Mus musculus: one gene and its partners. The protein of the gene in region 1 purifies or fractionates together with the protein of each later gene. This does not show direct contact. Links are inferred from orthologs where the notes say so. Each region holds a gene or a part of one and is shown in the gene's direction. Other genes may lie near its edges. The genes, in order: Ptpn2, Stat3, Kpna6 and Psmc1.

Region 1 (3,500 bases):
ATGATATTTTCTGTCCTGGTTAACGTCAGCTAACAACTTGACACAGCCCAGAGTCATCTGAGAGGAGTGCCTCAATTAAAGAAAGACTTTTTAAGATCAGATTGGTGTTATTTGTAGGGAACTAATTGATACAGGACAGCCCAGCCCACTGTGAGATTATCTGTAGAGAGAATGTCTTGTATATTTTATGGATACACCACCCATCAATTAAAAAGCCTATGGCTTAGGCAGGAAGTAGGAGGTGGGACATCGGGGAGGCAGAAAGAGTTCTGGGATAGAGCCAGGCACGGGAGGATTTGCCCAGGAAGATGTGAAGAGATGGATGTGGGGTACCTGAACACAGGTAACCAGCCGCGTGTCAGAATGTAAATTAAAATAAATGGGTTATGGGCTGGAGAGGTGGCTCAGCGGGTAAGAGCACTGACTGCTCTTTCGAAGGTCCTGAGTTTAAATCCCAGAAACCACATGGTGGCTCACAACCAGCCATAATGAGATCTGATGCCCTCTTCTGGTGTATCTGAAGACAGCTACTTTATTGTTATTATTATTGTTGTTGTTGTTGTTATTAGATATAATAAAAAATAAATCTTTGGGACGGAGCGAGCAGAGGTTCTGAATTCAATTCCCAGCAACCACATGATGTTTCATAACCATCTGTACAGCTACAGTGTGCTCACATACATTAAATAAATAATTTTTTTTTTTTTTTTTTTTTTTTTTTTGGTTTTTCGAGACAGAGTTTCTCTGTGTAGCCCTGGCTATCCTGGAACTCACTTTGTAGACCAGGCTGGCCTTGAACTCAGAAATCTGCCTGCCTCTGCCCCCTAAGTGCTGGGATTAAAGGCATGTGCCACCATGCCTGGCAATAAATAAATCTTTAAAAAAATAAATAAATTATTATGCTTAAACAAACCCTAATGGGCTACTTTAACATTTTGCCTAGACAAGTTATAGTTTCAATCAAAACTTGAATTGTTAGAGCTGAGAGGTGGCTCAGTGATGAAGGACAGTTGCTGCTCTTTAGAAAACTAATGTTCGGTTCTAGCACCCACAGTGGGTGACTCACAGCCCTCTCCAGCTCCAGGGATCACATGCTGTCTTCTGGCCGCTGTGTGCATCTCTACACACTTGGCATGCACACATACACATGCACTCACAAATCTTTAAAAAACAAAAAACTCATTTACTAATAAAATTAACCTTTTGCTTAAAGGCAGTAGATTCTGTTAATGATCAATATTAAAACTGGGTTATGAGAACCGGCGGTCTTTGGCAGAGTGTTTGCCTAGCATTTAAGGGTTCATGAGTTTCAAACTGCATTGGATGTTCATACCTGCTCTCTACCAACTGTGCCTTGCTCATCCTTCCTTCTCTTCAGTTTATGGTTTGTTTCTAAAACCAGATCAGTAGTCCAGAGCTCAGAGGTAATTTTGTAGGTCAAGGCTTTCCTATTTCCTGCCATCTTTTAAGTGTCTGCTGTACATCCACAAAGCATGTCTTTGTCCAGATTTGAGATGGGGAAGGGCACTGAGCAGCAAACTTTATCTCTGACAAAACCATTTTTTAAAACTATATAAATAATCCTAATCATATCTGGGTGTCTGTGTGCATATTTCTCACCCCCCCCCCCATGTGTGTGTGTTAAATTATCCTTCTTTTAAGAAGGAACCTGTTCACAGCTAAGGTCTGAGCAGTGAGTGGCCTTATATTGCTTTTTTTTTTTTTCAACTCAAACAACTTGGTTTTACCTTTCTTGCAGATGGAAAAAGGAGAGGATGTTAATGTGAAACAATTATTACTGAATATGAGAAAGTATCGAATGGGACTTATTCAGACACCGGACCAACTCAGATTCTCCTACATGGCCATAATAGAAGGAGCAAAGTACACAAAAGGAGATTCAAATATACAGGTAAACTCAGTATCATTAGTGTCAAATAACCATGTTCCATCTAAATCCTCAGCCTTCCCCTACTTCATTTGGTAGATCCAGCTGACTGTCTAGAATTCATAAAACTTTCCACAGTTCAAGAGGCAAAGATGAAAGCTAGTCACCAAGAGTTCAAGACCAGCCTGGTCTATACAGTGAGATCCTGACTTAATTTTTTTTTTTCTTCAAGATTTATTTATTATTATATCTAAGTACACTGTAGTTGTCTTCAGATGCACCAGAAGAGGGCGTCAGATCTCATTACTAATGGTTGTGAGCCACCATGTGGTTGCTGGGATTTGAACTCAGGACCTTTGGAAGAGCAGTCGGTGCTCTTAACCACTGAGCCATCTCTCCAGCCCCCAATTTTTTTTTTTATATGTATATAAGACACATATATACATATATACTTGTTTCCTCAGTGGAAACAAGATTCAATTAAAATAATTTTTTTCATATGAGAAGATTTCAGCATTTAATTATTGAAAGAAAAAAAAACCCAGAAAACATAAGTACTTTTATCTTAGTAAAAACTTACTGTAGAGGCCTGAGGAGATGGCTAAGTGGTCACAGGTTACAAGCACTTACTGCTCTTCCAGAGCACCCAAGTGTGTTTTTAAGAACTCATGTCGGGCAGCTCCAGGGGATCCAGCATCTCTGGCCTCTCATGGCACTTACAGTCATATGCACATACCTAAATGCACACACACAGAACTAAAAATGAAGGAAATAGCCGGGTGTGGTGGTGCACGCCTTTAATCCCAGCACTTGGGAGGCAGAGGCAGGCGGATTTCTGAGTTCGAGGCCAGCCTGGTCTACAAAGTGAGTTCCAGGACAACCAAGGCTATACAGAGAAACCCTGTCTCGGGGGGGAAAAAAAAGGTGGAAATAAAAATTTTAAACCCTTCATGTGGGAGTAAAGACTATTTCTATATAGGTACTTTATAGCTGAATAACTTCAGTTCTTACTACAGACATAAAGTGCTAGGAGTAAACTTTACAAACTTTACATGTCTGATGGTGACATTCTCAGGTGGTGTCTTTTTTTTTTTTTTGGTTTTTTGAGACAGGGTTTCTCTGTGTAGCCCTGGCTGACCTGGAACTCACTCTGTAGACCAGGCTGGCCTGAACTCAGAAATTCACCTGCCTCTGCCTCCCCAGTGCTGGGATTAAAGGCGTGCGCCACCACACCCAGCTCTCAGGTGGTTTTTATTGTATATTTATAGACCGTAAGCTCAAAGAGTATCAGAACTTAGTTTCATGTGATAAGGAAAAGTGTAAGGTAGAAAGAGAAATAACAGTATATCCTTCCCTGCATCGTCTGCATAATAAAGACATACCTAGATCGAAACCAACAATCTTAATCCACTACTCTTTGACTATCTATTTATAAATATCTGCTTTAAAATAGAATATATCTTTTAGGGGGCTAGAGAGATGGCTCAGCAGTTAAGAGCATTGACTGCTCTTCCTAAGGTCTTGAGTTCAAATCACAGTAATCACATTGTGGCTCACAACCATCCGTAATGAGATCTGATGGCCTCTTCTGATGTGTCTGAGGACAGCTACA
Region 2 (6,403 bases), on another chromosome or scaffold:
CACTGGGATCAAGCCTGGGCTTCACTCATTTAGGCAGGATCTCCAGTACTGAGCTGTACCCCAGCTCTTTCTAGATTTTTTTTTTTTTTTTTGACAGTTTACCTTTAGGCTGCTTGAAGGATGAGGCATCTTAGTTCAACATGTGGGCTCCTGGTTTAATGTGGAGAATGGGTTTGCAGTGTTTCCTGTTGATAAAAAGCCAGTGGCACAGAGAGAACAGTGCAAGCACCCTCCCAGCACCCTCCCCTTTGGATGGGATGGAGCTCAGACGAGAGGGTTCCACAAATCCATGTGTGTGCTAATCTTAGTTATTTATTATTTATTTATTTATTGGCAGCAAGGGGGCCAGGCCAACCACCCAACAGCCGCCGTAGTGACAGAGAAGCAGCAGATGTTGGAGCAGCATCTTCAGGATGTCCGGAAGCGAGTGCAGGTAATCGGGCCTCACCCAGGGAGCCGCGCTGTGCTGTGCGGCTGCAGAGTGTGGTCCTGCGTGCACGCTTTCATTATCTTCAAAACTTTCTTTTCCCTTTTTCCCAAAGGTAACCTGTGTTTTACTTCTGTTTTTGGTTGGTTTGTTTGTTTAAACAGGATCTAGAACAGAAAATGAAGGTGGTGGAGAACCTCCAGGACGACTTTGATTTCAACTACAAAACCCTCAAGAGCCAAGGAGGCAAGCGAGCTGTGGGGACGGGGCAGTCTGTGCAAGGCTACGCCGTGTCACTGAGTCTCAGGGCCTGCCTTCCATGGTAGGAGGAGGAGCTGCTGGCCCTTCACGGGACAATTTTTGCATTGTTTGTTTTTGAGATGGGATTTGACCATGTAGCTCTGGCTGACCGTGAGCCTACAACCATCTTACTTCAGCTCTCTGAGTAGCCGGGACTGCAGGCGCACAGATGGTGTAGAGCCTTGTTAAGAAGGCTGTGGTGAGTCCCTCTGCTCAAGGAGTCTTTCCTCCTTCCCTTAGACATGCAGGATCTGAATGGAAACAACCAGTCTGTGACCAGACAGAAGATGCAGCAGCTGGAACAGATGCTCACAGCCCTGGACCAGATGCGGAGAGTAAGCGATCTGGATGCTTCCTGAGCATCGCACGCCTAGCGTGGAAGACAGTTTCTGATGGCTTCTTTCTCTAGAACTGACTAGAGACTGCGGTTAGACATGGGCTGGGGTAATGTGTTCTGACTTGGTTTTGGTTTCCAAACAGAGCATTGTGAGTGAGCTGGCGGGGCTCTTGTCAGCAATGGAGTACGTGCAGAAGACACTGACTGATGAAGAGCTGGCTGACTGGAAGAGGCGGCAGCAGATCGCGTGCATCGGAGGCCCTCCCAACATCTGCCTGGACCGTCTGGAAAACTGGTAAGAGTTGGAAGAAAGGCTTCTTTTTCTTTAGTCACGGGCCTGCAAGGGGGGGGGGGGGGGGCGGGGCGGAGCGGGGCGGAGGCGGGGCATGCTGCTCCCTCGCCATGCTTTTGCTTTTGCTTTTGCTTTTGCTTTTTCATGCTGGGGTGGATGTGTGGTAGACAAGTGTGCCAGAGCCACTGGACTACACTCCTAGTGCTGGACACTATTGCTAAGATGGCACCTTTTTTTTTCTTTGAGAAAGAATCTCACTGAGCTGCATAGGCTGGCCCTCATACCCACTCCATAGCCCAGGCTGGCCCTCATACCCACTCCATAGCCCAGGCTGGCCCTCATACCTACTCTATAGCCCAGGCTGACCTTGAATTTGCAATCCTCCTGCTTCATCTTCCCAAATGGAATTATCTGGGATTATAGGCATGCATCACTCTGCCTGCCTTAAGGTGGCCTTTTTTACACAGTCAAGTTTAGTCCAAGAATTAAAACCATTACCTAATTTTAACTTTTTTGTTTTTTTCTGAGACAGAGTTTCTCTATTTAGCCTTAGCTGTCCTTGAACTTGCTCTGTAGACTACACTGGCTCAAACTCATAGAGGTCTGCCTGCCTCTGCTTCCCAAGTACTGAGATTAAAGACATGCACCACCATTGCCCAACCAACAAATTTTTAATTAAAAAGAATAAATTAATAAAGCTTAGATCACTAATTTAAGATATTTAAATAATACTTTCAGTTGTATTTAACACTAAATTCTCCATTTTAGTTATTTTAATAATCTAAAACAATATATGTTATTTGCAAAGGGGGGAAATAACTGAATATATATAAAACTAATAAAATGAAATAAAAAAAATGAAAATCTAGTCTTTGAGTAGTACCAGCAAGTCACCAGACTTTGTGATAGTCATTTTGTAGGCATCTGTCGTGATTAAACATGTGATTTCATGACTATACATGTGATGTCATAACTATACATGTGAAGCTAGAAATCGAGTTGTCCGTCTCCTTCCTCCCTTCCTTCCTTCCTTCCTTCCTTTGTTGTGGTGGGATGGATGCCTCAGGGTCCCTTTGCTTCAGTCTCCTGAGTGCTGGGGTCACCACTAGGGGACAGAGGTGACTGGAACTTCCTTCCATTATGGCAGGATAACTTCATTAGCAGAATCTCAACTTCAGACCCGCCAACAAATTAAGAAACTGGAGGAGCTGCAGCAGAAAGTGTCCTACAAGGGCGACCCTATCGTGCAGCACCGGCCCATGCTGGAGGAGAGGATCGTGGAGCTGTTCAGAAACTTAATGAAGAGGTAACTTGTAAGAGATGACGTTCCGAAGGGAGGAACCGGCAGAAGACTGGTCACCACAGCGTCTGAGATGCCATCCTTTTCCCTTCCAGTGCCTTCGTGGTGGAGCGGCAGCCCTGCATGCCCATGCACCCGGACCGGCCCTTAGTCATCAAGACTGGTGTCCAGTTTACCACGAAAGTCAGGTGGGCCTGTCCTTACACTTTGGGTGGAGTTTTGATTGATGTCCAGTCCTCTTCCCTGAGGATTTTAAGGGAAGGAAGGTTCTGTGGTGCCATAGCTGAGGGGCCCCATTGGGTGAGAGATGAAGCCCACTCCTCACCTGGCTCAGAACACGTGCAGTATTTCTCATTGAATGCTTTTTATTGCCTTCCCGTGAGAAGTCTCTTACAACTTGCTTCACATGCTTAGGCATCTCAGTACTTTCTAGCTGAAGGGTTAGTGTTCACTTTTAATGTCAGAGATGACTCTGCGGAAGTAGAATTTGGGTTTGTAAAAATAATATATATATATATATATATATATATGCGTGCGTGCGTGTGTGTGTGTGTGTGTGTGTGTGTGTGTGTGTATTTTTCATCTAGACAGGTCTTTGTAGCCCTGGCTGGCCTGGAACACTCTCTGTAAACTAGGCTGGCTTGAACCCAGAGATTCACCTCCCTTTGCCTCCCAAGTGCTGGGATTAAAGGCATGCACCACCATGCTCAGCAATATTTTTACATCTTAGGAATTGAAGTATTAGGGGGTTTATATTTTAACGAGATCAAGGTAGGGAGCCTACTAACTTTCCTTGACTATATTTTTTAATAGGTTGCTGGTCAAATTTCCTGAGTTGAATTATCAGCTTAAAATTAAAGTGTGCATTGATAAGTAAGTATTCTTTATGTGTGTGTGTGTGTAAGTGTATAATTTTTATTATTTAAAAGCAACTGTTAAATTCATGCTTTGCTCATATTCTTCCCTTCTCCCAAGTACATTCAGATCTCCTCCTCCTGTACTCACCCAAGTTTCTCAAAAAAACTAAACAACCAAAACCCCAATACAACAAAATCCCCAAAAGACTGAGAACAAAATACAACACCCAAAAAGAAAAAAGATGGGACTAAAATTGTGATTAAATAAGAGCATGCACAACAAACTATTTGTTGGTCAACTGTCCTGCTCACGAGACCCGCACTGAGTGGTTGACAAAGCCAGTGCTGCTCCCAGCAGCTCCATTGCTAATCTTTCACCCTAGTGGTGGGTTTACATTCATTCATTCATTCATTCATTTTTTTTAATGTAACAAAATAAAATATAACAAAGCAAAACAAAGGCTATGACATCCAAGTTGGACGAGACAAACCAACAGGAGGAAAAGAACCCAAGAGAAGGCACAGGAGTCGGAGTCCCACTCGTTTGCACCCTGGGAATCCCATGAGAACACTACATGGGAAGCCACAATATTAGCACAGAGGCCCTGGTGCAGGCCCCTGCAGGCCCAGGGCATGCTGCTCCAGTCTCTGCGAGTTCATATGAGCTTTGCTCGTGGTGATTCAGAGGGCCTTGTGGTTTTGGTGACCTCTAACCCCTCTGGTTCTTAATGTTTTTTCTGCTGCTTCTTCCTTGGTATTCCCTGAGCTCTGAGGGGAGGGATTTGCTGGAGACATCCCATTTAGGGAATGAGTGTTTCAAGGTCTTTCTCTGCATGATGTCTGGCTGTGGGTCTCTATATTTCTTCCCATCTTTGGACAGGAGGACTCTTCTCTGATGATGGCTGAGCAAGGCACTGATATCTGAGTCTAGCAGAATGTCACCTGGAGTCATTTTATTGTTTTTTTTTCCTTTCTCTTTTTTAGATCAGTATTATTTAGTTTTTCCCTAGGTCCTTGGGCTATCTAGTCTCTGGTTCTTGGCCACCCAAGCCTTGTTGGGTATGAGTTTCATCTTGTATAGTGAGCCTTAAGACTCTTGTTGGTTGGTTACTTCCACAGGTTTGTGCCACCATTGCCCTAGCATATCCTGCAGGCAGTACACTATTACAGATAGAGGTTTGAGGCTGGCTTGCTGTTCACACTTCTCTTTTGATAGCATGCAGAGTACCTTCCTATAACAAAGACTCTGGCATACAGTGGGGGGCTCTATGGAGGCACCAGCTTCACGTGCCCATGTTCAGTGAGTTGTGTAGGTGTTATCCTCAACAGTGGGGCCTTGCTGTCAGTTGTGGAAAGCAACCGATGGTCTTGATAACAGCGTGGATTGTTTGAGGATTCCCTTTGGCCAACAATTCAATTAGACTTAACCCTAACCCAGTACTGGAAGCTTTATTTGGTGGCAAGAGATCGCCAGTTGGGACCCCAACTCTCCCCCATTACTTGGCGATTGAATCTAGATCACCTTCACATATGTGAATGTTTTAGGAGGTTCCTACTGTACGAGATGTCGATACTACTCCACGGATGCTCCATAAGTGTTGCCGTCTCCCATTGTTCCCTCCCACCACCAGCTCTCCTCTCCCCTCGGCTTCCCCATTTGCTCCTCCAAGTTCAGACCTCGTCTATCCAGAATCCCTCATCTATCCAGAATCCCTCATCTATCCAGAATCCCTCATCTATCCAGAACCCCTTCTATTTCTTTTTTCCTAATTAGATCTATTTGTTCTCTGTAGTTCCTTAGTCTGTATTCACCCTCTGTGGTTCTTAAGGATTGCAGCTTGGTTATCATTGACTTAATGGCTAATATCCATACATAAGTGAGTACACACCACATTTGTCTTTCTGGGTCTAGGTTACCTCACTCAGGAAGATTTTTTTTTTCCTAGTTCCATCTATTTGCCTGCAAGTTTCTTTTTTTTTTTTTTAATGGCTGAGTAATACTCCGTATGTAAATGTACCACATTTTCTTTATTCATTCTTCTGTTGAGGGACATCTAGGTTGTTTCCAGCTTCTGGTTAGTATGGAGAGAACAGCAGTGAACGTGGTTGAGCAAGTGTCTGTGGTAGGATGAAGCATCCTTTGGGTATGTGCCCAAGAGTGGTCTAACTGGATCTTGAGGTAGATGGATTCCCGTCTTCCTGAGGAGCGGCCATACTGATTTCCATAGTTGCTGCATGAGCTTGCATTCCCACCAGCAATATGTGATGGTGGCCCTTACTCCACATCCTCGACAGCATGAGCTGTCACTTGTGTTGATCTTAACTATCCTGTTAGGCATATGATAGACTCTCACAGCAGTTTGATTTGCATTCCCTGATCCTAAGGATGTTGGACATTTCTCTGTTTCTCAGCCACTTGGGTTTCCTCTATTAAGAATTTTCTGTTTAGATCTGTACCCCATTTCTAACTGGTCTGTATTTTCTTGATATTTATTTTCTTAAAATTCTTTTCGGGCATTTGTCCTCTATTGGATATGTAGTTGGTTTAAAAGAAAAATCCCGTTCTGTAGGCTACCAATCCGTATTCTTAAGCCTAACTCTTGTTTTCAAATGAGGGATGGAGAAGCAAGAACTTGGACAGACATTTGACTTTAGAGATGTCTCCATTCAGGGATCTTCTTTTTGTGAACAGCTGTGTTCAAAACCCTTGCAAACCCTGCCCGGTTTGCCTGAAGCATTGAAAAGAAAAGTTTGAGTGTGTGCAGCTCAGTATTGCAGGCTCACCTAGCACGCACGCATGCACGAGGCCCGGGTTCAACCCCCATACTGAAAAATAAACGTGTAAATAAGTAATGCTTGAAAATAGAGTATATGGAAAGAGAACTGGTTT
Region 3 (5,547 bases), on another chromosome or scaffold:
ATAGGCTGACCTAGCCTACCTCTGCCTCCCAAATGCTGGGTGTAGATTATGTCTGTACCCAGCTAAGTCGTGGGGATTTTTTTTTTTTTGGTTTTTCAAGACAGGGTTTCTCTGTATAGCCCTGGCTGTCCTGGAACTCACTCTGTAGACCAGGCTGGCCTCGAACTCAGAAATCTGCCTGCCTCTGCCTCCCAAGTGCTGGGATTAAAGGCGTGCGCACCCACGCCCGGCATGTCTTGGGGATTTTTGTTTGTGTTTTGTTTTGATGAGATTAGGGCTCTCTGTGTATACTAAGCTCTCTTTGAGTTTGTGGTCCTCTTGCTTTAGCCTCTCGGGGGCTGACAACATGTCTCAGCCTCCAGTTTGTATTTATGCCCCTTTATTCTGGTGTTCATCATCTGAACATTAGGAGGAACCACGCAAGTTGGATGCGTCTTTCCCCTTATTATAACCTACGAAAGGGAATAAAGTCTGTACATACTGATGTCTCAGGAGAAAGGAAGAGCTATTGACTTAAACATTAGAAAGAAAACATAAGATGAACATGATGGCGTGTGTACCACTGCAGTCTGAGAACAAAGTCAGCCAACCATGTAGTGAATCCCAAGCAAGCTAGGGCTACAAAGAGAAATCATGTTTAAAAGGGTGCCAGAGTAGGGAGGAGGAGTAAATACAGCATTATATGTAGGCCTTTTTAGATAAAAATATATAAAGGTCCAGGAGTCAGAAATCTGAAGATCTTTGAGCACAATTTAATAACCTCAGTATGGAATATTCTGAGTAGAGCTACAGAGGAAGGGTCCAGATGACAGACAGTCTGTACCTCCATACTGTACAAGTTGTACTCAGGACAAATAGGAACCTGAGGAACTTCTTAACGTGTGTAGGGTAATAACGTTGTAGCCAAGGGGACAATAGGACTCCGTGTTCATTAGGGAATAGGTCAGTGCAGAGTTAAGAAGGTGGCTTAGGTGGGCAACAGGAAGAGTGCCTTGTTGGGAAAATTGGTGTGTGAGGGAGACGCACAGGTCAAAGCACCTGGTGCACTTTATGTGTTCTGCATTCATGTAGCGCGCATGTCCTCTCTGGTCCCCAGGTACCTGGTATCACTGGGCTGCATTAAGCCCCTGTGTGACTTGCTGACTGTAATGGATTCAAAAATTGTGCAAGTGGCCCTCAATGGACTAGAGAACATTCTTCGGCTTGGAGAGCAAGAAAGCAAGCGTAGTGGCTCAGGGGTCAATCCCTACTGTGGCCTCATCGAGGAAGCCTATGGTAGGTCCTCTCCCTGACCTCACCTATGTCTGTTAATGGGGAAGATGTTGGAGCACATTCAATTGTTCTGTGAAACTTGGGAATACATTTATCCATTCATTTGTGTGCATATGCATGTATGAGTGTGGGTGTACATGATATGGCACATGTGGGATGAAGGTCAGAGGACAACCTGAAGAAGTCAGTTCTCTCCCTTCACCATGTTGGTTCCTAGGATTGAACCCAGGTTGTCAGACTTGGCAGAAATCACCTTAACCTGCTGAGTCATCTCACCAGCCCTTGAGTCTCTGCTTCTAAAACCAGTGATGAGTTCCTGTTGCAGCCAAGCTAGTCCAAGCACAGGGTTTCAGACTTTCCCTTGGGAGTAGCTGACTCGTACTGACCAGCTGGGTAGATAGAAGTAATGGTTATTATCACTATCAAGTTTCCCTGTCCCACCATCTCCTCCTCCCTCTGAGGAGCCATAGGTCAGTGCTGTTCTCATAGACACCACCTACCTCAAATGTATGCAAGGAGGAACAGGGTAAAATTTGGTTCTACTACCAGGAGCTAGAAGCTGCATTCCAACAGTCTCTCCTGGAAAACCCTGATTGCCTTAACCAACCCATCTCAGATGATTAGCTCAGATGTTAATTAGATGTTAACTAGCTCACCATGATTAGCTCAGAGTTAGCTTGCAACAGAATTTGGTCTCAACCCTCTAGTCAATCACATTGTATATGTGTGTGCAGACCAGAGGTCAGTCTGAGCTATCACTCCTCAGAGTAATCTAGGTTAACAAGCCAACCAGAAAACAAACCCCAGCTGGTTTGTCCCGACTGTATCCTCTTCCCACAACCCCTGCTAGGGTTACAGGCCCCGGCCACCATTCCTGGCCTTGCATCCTGGGGAGTGAACTCAGGTTTTCAGGGCAAGCACTTTACACAAGCCAGGGGTGGATATGTTCCCACTGCTTTTGGTTGGGAACTTGTACTTCAGGAAAGGAGAGGTACAGACCTGTTTTCTTCTTACACCGTAGGCTTGGATAAAATTGAGTTTCTCCAGAGCCACGAGAACCAGGAAATCTACCAGAAGGCCTTTGACCTCATTGAGCACTACTTTGGTGTAGAGGATGACGACAGCAGCCTGGCTCCTCAGGTGGATGAGACGCAACAGCAGTTCATCTTCCAGCAGCCTGAGGCCCCCATGGAGGGCTTCCAGCTATAATGTCTGCCTCCGGGGAGGGGAGGGCACGGGAAGCACCAGCAGCCAGCAGAGAGAGGAGCAGCCTTCTGGTGGGCAGGAGAGCAGCCACCCCACCAGCAGCCCCGCACACCTGCTGCCCCGAGACTGTGCTCTCGACCTGTTCATCCCCTTCCCTGGAGGGAGCAAGCGCCCTCTGGACAGACAGAACCATCTGAGGCTCACATTGGGTTTTGAGACAAGAAGGGGACGTGTGGGTTTCTCTTCCTTACACTATTTTGGCTGCACATGTCTTTAACCCAGGAGCCCAGGGGTAGACAAAGGAGGACTGAGGTAATCAATTTGCACCTTTAAAATTTTTTTCTTTTATTTTCTTTAGTGGTGACTTCCTTCCCAATTATCTTTCTTCATCCATCCCAGTCCTCTGCCCTGACGTGTGTAACTCTTGGGTACTTGAGCAGATGGAATATTCCAGAGGTGGGAGGTGGGAGGGGAGGGGAGAAGTCCCAAACAAAGTGTTCTTGCTCTGACCCATATTAATCTTGTATGCTTGGATTATTTAATTTTTTCTTTTGCACATTTTTCTTGTATTAAGGTTGTTCTTCCCAAAAAGCTGGATTTAGTAACCCAGCCACCAGCATCGTCTGGAAATAGAGGCTAATGGGGAGGCCCCCATGAGACAAAGATCCCTCCCTCCCTCTAACCCTATGCCTAAGACCTCTTTAGTTTGGGAGGATCCCCCTCACTCTCCTGGAGCAAGTATACCAGTGGAGTGGAAGGGAGGGGCACAGGCCTTTAGACAGGGCTTCTCCTGTGTAGCTACTGACCCTGTTTCCTACCCACCTCCTAAATGGTGCGACCCAACTTCATTTGTTTACTTGAAAATTCACCTCAGAGTTGAATGAACCTCTGAGGTGGCTGTGTTTTCTCCTGAGCTTGAGATGGGGGGCTGTGGTCCTTCCTTCTCCTGAGGAGAAAGTCCTTGCTCTGATGACCCCTAAGTTGCAGAGGAGGTTGGAGTTAGTGTCGTGTATCGGGATAGTCATGAATCCCTGCCTTTGGCCTTTCTTCTTCCTTCTGCCATAGCTGGATCATGTATATTTCACTTCCAAAGGAGAGAATGGCAAAAAGTTCTGTTGTTTTTTTAATAGTCTGTATTTTAAGTAGGTCAGTCTTAATTGGTTTTAGGAGGACAAACTGGATGTGAGTGGGATACTGTGAGGAAGACCAGAAAGACGAACAAGTTTCTGCTCACAGGGCTGAACTCAGTCCTTATTTTCTCTGCTTGTATTCTGGGCCACCACTTGGGACCAACTCTCACTTCTGGAACCTTTATGAAGTAAATCAGCTGGGTCTGATTGTTCCCAGCCTGAAGGGAGCAAGGCCTGATGGAGTCTGCTGCTCTCTCTGTTCCTTGCTCCCAAGCAAAAAGCATCCTGCCTTCTCTAACTCACTGTTACCCACAATGAACCCTGTTGGCATCTCCCTTCTAAAGATCCTTGTACCTAGCTTGCATTTCCCTTTCTCCCTCTTTCCCCCTCCCACCTCTCTCCCCCCTCCTCCTCTCTTCCCTCCCTCTCTCTCCCCCTCCCTCTCTCCCTCCCTCCTTCTTGAATAAAGACAGTTCAGTACCTCAGAGGCTGACCTGTTTTCAGGGGTTACACAGTACACTAAAACCAAGCTCTGGGAGCTGGGTACAGTGTCAGCTGGGCAGACCACCTGTGGAGGTGGCAGCACAGTGCCCTGCTGTGGTGATCCCCCACACCCTTAGCCGCTCTCTAGAACAGCACTGTTCCTCCTGTTCCAGCAGATCTCTCTGTGCCCCACATTTGCAGATCTGAAGTTGAGGTTCTTGCTGCTGGCCTCTGCCTTTCCGTCTGCCGTCTCTCCTTTAGTTTTGAGTTCCTGCTCCAGATTCCTCTTCAGGGCAGGCAGTTAATACTGAAAAGTTCAACCAACATTGGACCACGCTGGCGAGTGCCTTCCGGGAAGGCAAGGTGCTGGCCCTTTTGTTTTTAACCTGACTGAAACTGCTCCTAGTTCAAAGAAAAGTCCTCTATGAAGCCATCATCGTCCTTATCTGAAGAGTAGACCCCTGAACCTCTCAAGTGACAGTTAGGACCCTGGCCCTGGAGCCAGATCCTCAGCATGAGACACAAATGTCCTGCTTTCCTCTGCCCGTTTTCCATTATCTCTGGCTTCAGAGCAGATCCTGTGCCACATGGAAGAGGTTGGTTATCTATCTAGCTGCTCTACTCTAGGTGTCCCTCACAGTCGGCTCCTGGCCGACTGACTTCAGTTTCCAGCCCTCCCCAGTGATCATGGCCCTGGATGTTGGTTGTAGCCTTTTGGTATTACTGTATGAGTTCCAGCTTGCTTGGTACCGTTGTTACCTGGGTCTGTGCACACAAGTGCTTCCGAGGAGCAGGTATTGGTAGCCTGGTTTGGAAGACCTTTTGGTGTCCCCTTTACCCGGGACCTTGTATCTACCACTTCCCCTTTCTGCTGCCCCTGGGAGTCATCCCCAGTAGCCTATGTTCTGAAGCTAACTGTGGGCTAGAGCTGCAGTGGGATTTTAGCTGAGGGAGAGGAAAAGACGGTGCTTCTGCGTGGAGTTTCTTTCTTTGAAACCAAGCCGGTACAAAGACACACTTCCCACACAGAGGAAGTGTGTTTCTGTCTGCCTGCAGAGCTAGCAGCTCACAGTTCTACACGTCCTGGAGGCCTCTGCACTCTTTATTCAGACCCCAGCTCTTCTCTTCCAGGCTCACTCATTTTGGTATCCATCCTCTTGGGTATTTTTCAGGCTTAGATTCTAACTTCTCAAAGGAAAAAAACCCAAACTTCTCCAGGTCCCTGCAGATCCAGGACGGAGACAGGATAGTTAGTGACAAGCTTCCCTAGCAGGCTGGGGAAGTGTGCAAGGCTAGGTGCACTGAACTATAGATTCTGAGCAGTGGCAGCTTCAAGCCGCACTTCCCTGAGAGGTGGTAAGAGACAGGCTTCCTGGCACATTCTAGACCAGTTTTGTCCAGTATATTTTTTTTTTGTTTTATCTTTTGTATTCTTTTGTTAAGCCAACAAACTGAG
Region 4 (6,403 bases), on another chromosome or scaffold:
GCTCTGCATGTAGCATGGAGTACAAGGGGAGGCAGGGAGTACTGCGGAGACTGAATGAAGCTAGCTCTGGTTATATATAACCCCTTTCCACTTGCTAACTCCGGTGGAGCCCTCTTCTGGGTTGGCATAGAAGTTACATGAGTTTGTCTCATGCTAACCATGAGCCATGAGCCATGGTGCATGCCTGTAATCCCAGCACTCAATCCACTGAGTTCCAGCCAGCCAGGGCTGCACAGAGAGACCTTTCTTAAGAAAGGAAGAAAGAAAGAAAGAAAGAAAGAAAGAAAGAAAGAAAGAAAGAAAGAAAGAAAGAAAGAAAGAAAGAAAGAAAGAAAGAAAGAAGAGAGAGAGAGAGAGAGAGAGAAAGAAAGAAAGAGGGCTGGTGAGATGGCTCAGTGGGTAAGAGCACCCGACTGCTTTTCCGAAGGTCAGGAGTTCAAATCCCAGCAACCACATGGTGGCTCACAACCATCCGTAACAAGATCTGACTCCCTCTTCTGGAGTGTCTGAAGACAGCTACAGTGTACTTACATATAATAAATAAATAAATCTTTAAAAAAAAGAAAGAAAGAAAGAGAGAGAGAGAGAAAGAGAGAAAGAGGGGGAGGGGAGGGAGGGAGAAAGACATCCTATTCACACAGAGAGACCTTTCGAAAGAAAGAAAGAAAGAAAGAAAGAAAGAAAGAAAGAGAGGAAGAGAGAAAGAGGGGGAGGGAGGGAGGGAGAAAGACATCCTATTCACTGTCCCTAAGTAGTTAACCCCGCTGAGGTATTAACATGTAAGTCATTTATTGCTTTTTATTTTTGTCATTATTTTACGGCAGGCACACACATGCTTCGGTGTGCATGTACAGGTCAGAGGACAACTTTTGGGAGTTGGTTCTCTCCTGTCACTGTTCTGAGGATGGAACTTAGATCGAGGCTCGCACAGCGAGTCCCTTACTCTCAGAACCTCTATCCTGATGGCCCTGTTTGTTGTGAGGCAGGGTCTCGGTTTTGCGGTCCAGGCTTCCCTGGGTTAGTGATGCTTCTCTTGCACCAGCACCCCGAGTGCAGGGATTAATGCACCACAGTGGAAATAGCGTGTAAACTACTGATGCAGTCTCAGAGACACTTTCATGCTGTAAAGGGAAGTATCGCTGTATTAACATCTGGGTATGTCTGGACCGAAGTTTATTTTTTATTTTTATTTAAGAATTACTTTATGTATAGGAATGTTTTGCCTGCAAAGCGGGTGGTTTTGAGCAGCCATGTGGGTACTAAGAACTGAACTCAAGTCCTCTGGAAGAGCAGCTAGTGCTCATAACTGCTAAGCCATCTCTTCAGCCGCTTTATCACAGTTATTTCCTTTGTGTGTATGTGGGGTGGGGCCCATGCGCGCTCCTGCACTCAGATACAGTTGTGAGTATGTGGAGGTCAAAGCACAACTTGCAGGACTCAATTCTGTCCTTCCACCACCACGGGGAACCGAGGGATAGAACTCAGCTCTTGTTGGCAGCAAGCTCTTCAACCACTGAGCCATCCTGCCAACCCTGAACTTAAAGTTTTTTAATGGCTTTCTGGTGAACATATATAAATTTTTTTTTTTTTTAGTTTTTAAGTTCCAAATGTCTAAAGCCTTATTTTTTAATTACAGTAACACCTCACACCCAGTGCCGCCTGAAATTACTGAAGCTAGAGAGAATAAAAGACTATCTTCTCATGGAGGAGGAATTCATTAGAAACCAGGAACAGATGAAACCATTAGAAGAAAAGCAAGAGGTGAGTGGAGAAGGTTCTATAGTCTTCTTTACTGAGTGAGTTCTGTTAAGAACAAAAACTGTGATAAGTGAGAGTCATGGGTGTCAACTGTGACACTTCTGACTGGCCAGCTTTTAAAGCCAGGGAGAGGGCGCAGCAGGTAAAAGTACTGACTACACTCTGGCAACCAAGTATGGAAAGGTAAAAAATCCAGATGAGGTGCACATCTGTCATCCTGGCACCCTACAGCAAGACGAGAGTCAGAGACCTGACAACCACCCAGAAGTTCTCTGGATAGCCAGGAGTACACACACACAGCAAGTTATTCTCTGGTCTCTGCACGCTCAGATGCACATCCACAGAAAGTGAGTGAATGAGAAAAGAAAACATTTGCTGCCTTGTCATTCCAGGCAGATACTCTGTAAATGCATCATCTGCCTTACGGGCTCATCTGCTTTTTCTTCTTGGCTATTATTAGGAGGAAAGATCAAAAGTGGATGATCTCAGGGGGACCCCCATGTCTGTAGGAACCTTGGAAGAGATCATTGATGATAATCACGCCATTGTGTCCACATCTGTGGGCTCAGAACACTACGTCAGCATCCTGTCGTTTGTAGACAAGGATCTGCTGGAACCAGGCTGCTCCGTCCTGCTCAACCACAAGGTGAGCCACTGGCCTATAAGGAAGCCCGGTAGGAGTATGTTCTTGGTGTTAGACCTGGCTGCTCGGGCTGGAAGGGGACCACCAAAGCACTCACAGAAATGGGGGAAAGAAACTGGAATTGCTTGCCCTAGACAAATTGACAAGAACTCCCGGTCACACATTAAGACTTGGTCCTTTGTAGGTGCATGCTGTGATAGGGGTGCTAATGGATGACACGGATCCCCTGGTCACAGTGATGAAGGTGGAAAAGGCCCCCCAGGAGACCTACGCAGATATTGGGGGACTGGACAACCAGATCCAAGAAATTAAGGTATGGTGGGGACCGGGTCTGGGTTTCCAGAGTTTTGGTTTCTTATAGTTGTCCTGTTTGGATGCTTTGGAGTTGACTTCCATGTTTGTTTTTCTTTATTGAGCAATTCTAGCTATGGATCTTTATGTGCTCAGTACTTTGAGGAACTGGAACCACACTAAATTGTGTGCCGGTCCTGTAGTCTTTTCACACTTTGCATATTTAATGCTGACTCAGTAGTAGGTGGAAATGTGACCTTCCCCGCTGTGCTGACTTGTGCTGTTGCGTACTTACTCAGCACACATGTGTTAGGGCCTAGGCCAGGTTCCCTGTTCCTGAGTGATGGAGCCTGTGGCTGTGTGCCCACCCTGTCTCTCACCCATAGGGAAGTCAGAACTGCCAAAGGTCTCCTCTGCTGACCTCTCAGCTGGAACTCGGCACAGAGCGTAGAATCCCTAGTGACAGTAGGACCAGCTGGCAGGAAGCCTGTCCAGGTCCTCTTTCTAGTCTACTCCAAACAGAGCAAGTGTTAGCTTCCTTCAGTTTTATTTTGCTCCAGAGTAGCTTAAGTGTTGCTCAAGGCTGACTTCTGGAAAGGAAAGGGAAAGCTGGGCGTGGCTTAGGAAGGGAGTTGCTATGAAAACTCAGTGAGACACCTGCCCTCTTCAGCGTGTCCCACCCCAGTAGAGGTTCAGAACAGTGAGCTTTCTGTTTATCTGTGTGGAAAACAGCATATTTTCATATCAGGCAATGCTAACAACCCCAGTTAAACTTTCCTTTTCACCAAGGCTTTCTTCTCTGTAGGAGTCTGTGGAGCTCCCGCTTACCCATCCTGAGTATTACGAGGAGATGGGGATAAAGCCCCCTAAGGGGGTCATTCTCTACGGTCCGCCAGGAACAGGTACGCCGTGCTGAACATTGTAGGCACTCCACTCCTGTCTCCAGCAGCTTTGGCAAGATAGAAGGTGCCACAGTCGCTTAGCTCAACTCTGGAGCTGGGCTGGGGAGGGAGAGGTAGAACACACTGCTTAGCAGGCACACAGCCATGGGCTGGGTCCAGCAAACCCACACCATCCCCATACACACACAAAGCAAGATCTCAGCCTTGGCTGACCGAGTACAGTGACATCACCTTGAGAGCTCTATATAGTGCTGCGGCTTGTCCCAGCCTCAGAGGCACACATGCGCTCATCTGCAGCACGGCTAAGCCTCAGTCCAGTGTGGAGATGGCGTTCAGTTATTCTGAGGTGTTGGACCAGGTCCGTTTACTGTGCAGTAGTACTAAGTAAATACTGTGGGATGATGATAAGGACACATTTAACATTACAGTACAACGGTTGTCCTAAGCTGCAGAGGCCAGTGCTTGGCAGTTGATGACCCTGCAGATCAGAACAGGCGTGGTCATTTGCTTCAGAGAGCTGATGCTGAGTTCCTCCGACTTATTTTGAGAGCTATTAAGAGACTGAGAAGTAGCTTCCCTGAGGAACCTGGAGCTAGAAGCCACTCTGCTTTACCTCAGTGGAGATTAAAGCCTGGAGAGGCTGGTGATGAGCCCAGGGCCACAGAGCTCTTGGCGTTGAGCTGGTAATGCCTGGAGCTGCAGCACTGTCCTGCCCCACCAGTGTGCATCTCATGAGGTGTGGGCACTGCAGTGCCGGGTGGACGGGCCTGTCAGAGTGGGAGGCTTGTTCAGTGATTCCCTGTGGCACTTGAGGTAACCCAGCTGCTTTCCTTGGCTCCCAGACACTAAGGTCTCATTGTCCTAAAAGGCCCGACCCCGTCTTTACATCCCGAGTTGGTCTCCCAGGAATACTGTTACCTTCTGAGGCTTTCTACCTGCTGTTTGCTGCTGTGTCACAAAGCTTAGCCCTCTGCCATTCCCTAGCTCTCCCTCTGCATCCTGAGCTAACACCAGGCCCTCATTCACTTTTAAAGGGGCGAAGGTCTTAACAACTCTAAAATCCTTGAGCTGAGTACTCTTTGGTGACTGGCCTATGTTAAAGGCTGGTCTCTGGAGGTGGGACGGGCATCAGTGTTGTTCAGAGCTCCCAAGCTGAATTCACTGTACGTGGTTTGTGTGTGTGTGTGCGCGTGCACGCGTCCAAGAAAAATACCAGTGGTAGAGCAGTGTTAGAAACACTACTTGAAGGGCTGGAGAGATGGCTCAGTGGTTAAGAGCACTACCTGGTCTTCCAAAGGTCCTGAGTTCAAATCCCAGCAACCACATGGTGGCTCACAGCCATCTGTAATGGGATCTGTTGCCTTTTCTAATCTGGGTTGGATAAGTCAGATTAATTTTTGTATTTGTTCGTTCCTTCATTAGTTTTGATACAGGTCCTCATGAAGGCCACTCTGGCTTTGAAGTCACCGTCTAGCTCAGGATGCCCTTCAACTTCTAATCCTCCTACCTCCACTTTCCAAATGCTGGATTCTACATGTGTAGCCCCATGTCTGGTTGCATTAAGTTAATTTAATATGCAACTTAGAATGGACCCAAGAAAGCTCCCTTTCAGAAAAAACAGGTCATTGTATTGCTAGTGCAGAGTGGTTCTTTCTATAGGTAAATATGGCGACTGGTTCTCCTAATGCTGTGACCCTTTAATATAGGTGGACCCCTCATCATAAAGTTATTTTTATTGCTACTTCATAACTGTAGTTTTGCTACTGTTATGAATTGTCATGTAAGTATCTGGGATGCAGAATATCTGATATGCGACTCCCAGATGGGTCTCGACTGCTGCTTTGGATGATACTTTGGGCTCAGGGTGTGAAAATAACCAGGTAGGGCTCACAAAATGTCTCAGTGATAATGGTGTCCGTCACAAGCCTGGCAACCTGAGTTTGATCTTCAGACCCCAATGAAGGTGGAGGAAGGGAGGTGCTTCTGCCAGGTTGTCTTCTGTCCTCCACAGGTGCTCCGCGGCTCATGCCCCCATTAAATAGGCACAAAACAAATATATATTATGATTTTTATGAGAAAAAAATAGCCAGGTAAAGGTATTGCTGACATCATCATGATGACTTTTAGAAGAGCTCAGAGTATGTTGTTAGGTTGGGAGAGCAGAGGAGCAGATAGCTGCGGTGTGTTGTCATTGTTAGTGTCCATCCACTGGGATGGGGCGCTCCTAACAGCAGTTACATGGTTTTCTTCTTATCGTATTCTTTTTACCCAAAATAGGTAAAACTCTATTGGCCAAAGCAGTAGCGAACCAGACTTCAGCCACTTTCTTGCGAGTGGTTGGCTCAGAGCTTATCCAGAAGTACCTAGGTGACGGGCCCAAACTTGTCCGGGAGCTCTTCCGGGTCGCTGAGGAGCATGCGCCGTCCATCGTGTTCATTGATGAGATCGACGCCATTGGGACCAAAAGGTAGACTCACCCTGAACTGTCGTGGAGATAAACAGTATTGGCCCTCCCTGTGCAGCAAGCCCTTGCTGGGCATGGCCCTCTGGATACTTCACTCTGCCCTCCAAGGGGCCTTAAACACCTACCCAGGCAGTGTGTGGAACCCAGTTGTGTCCGAGCTTGCATGGAGCCAGTACCATGCAGACGCTGCAGACTCACTGTACTCATGGTAGTCTTTGCCCTGCAGCTAAAAGGTTGAACCAAACAGGGAGACAAAAAATGGGCCTTTAGGCAGAGTTGCTGTGCAGCGATGTGGTTCAAAAGTGTGTCTGTCTGTCTGTCCCGCTGAAAACGAAACAGCACAAT

Evidence for each region.
Region 2: the proteins of Ptpn2 (region 1) and Stat3 purify together in Homo sapiens (affinity purification with western blotting; 7 studies listed by BioGRID). This does not show direct contact. The link is inferred for Mus musculus from reciprocal best matches to the Homo sapiens genes PTPN2 and STAT3.
Region 3: the proteins of Ptpn2 (region 1) and Kpna6 purify together in Homo sapiens (affinity purification with mass spectrometry; 3 studies listed by BioGRID and IntAct, with this or other methods). This does not show direct contact. The link is inferred for Mus musculus from reciprocal best matches to the Homo sapiens genes PTPN2 and KPNA6.
Region 4: the proteins of Ptpn2 (region 1) and Psmc1 purify together in Homo sapiens (affinity purification with mass spectrometry; 4 studies listed by BioGRID and IntAct, with this or other methods). This does not show direct contact. The link is inferred for Mus musculus from reciprocal best matches to the Homo sapiens genes PTPN2 and PSMC1.

What each region holds. Positions count from the first base shown.
Region 1 is NC_000084.6:67,676,122-67,679,621, reverse strand, and holds part of Ptpn2 (tyrosine-protein phosphatase non-receptor type 2), read left to right. Parts: intron 1-1,759; coding exon 1,760-1,912; intron 1,913-3,500. UniProt on the Homo sapiens protein: Non-receptor type tyrosine-specific phosphatase that dephosphorylates receptor protein tyrosine kinases including INSR, EGFR, CSF1R, PDGFR.
Region 2 is NC_000077.6:100,899,863-100,906,265, reverse strand, and holds part of Stat3 (signal transducer and activator of transcription 3), read left to right. Parts: intron 1-337; coding exon 338-433; intron 434-591; coding exon 592-673; intron 674-967; coding exon 968-1,062; intron 1,063-1,207; coding exon 1,208-1,359; intron 1,360-2,503; coding exon 2,504-2,662; intron 2,663-2,751; coding exon 2,752-2,844; intron 2,845-3,469; coding exon 3,470-3,529; intron 3,530-6,403. UniProt on the Homo sapiens protein: Signal transducer and transcription activator that mediates cellular responses to interleukins, KITLG/SCF, LEP and other growth factors. Once activated, recruits coactivators, such as NCOA1 or MED1, to the promoter region of the target gene.
Region 3 is NC_000070.6:129,644,926-129,650,472, reverse strand, and holds part of Kpna6 (importin subunit alpha-7), read left to right. Parts: intron 1-1,096; coding exon 1,097-1,275; intron 1,276-2,293; coding exon 2,294-2,481; 3' UTR 2,482-5,547. UniProt on the Homo sapiens protein: Functions in nuclear protein import as an adapter protein for nuclear receptor KPNB1. Binds specifically and directly to substrates containing either a simple or bipartite NLS motif.
Region 4 is NC_000078.6:100,113,202-100,119,604, forward strand, and holds part of Psmc1 (26S proteasome regulatory subunit 4), read left to right. Parts: intron 1-1,636; coding exon 1,637-1,761; intron 1,762-2,218; coding exon 2,219-2,404; intron 2,405-2,585; coding exon 2,586-2,714; intron 2,715-3,497; coding exon 3,498-3,594; intron 3,595-5,871; coding exon 5,872-6,061; intron 6,062-6,403.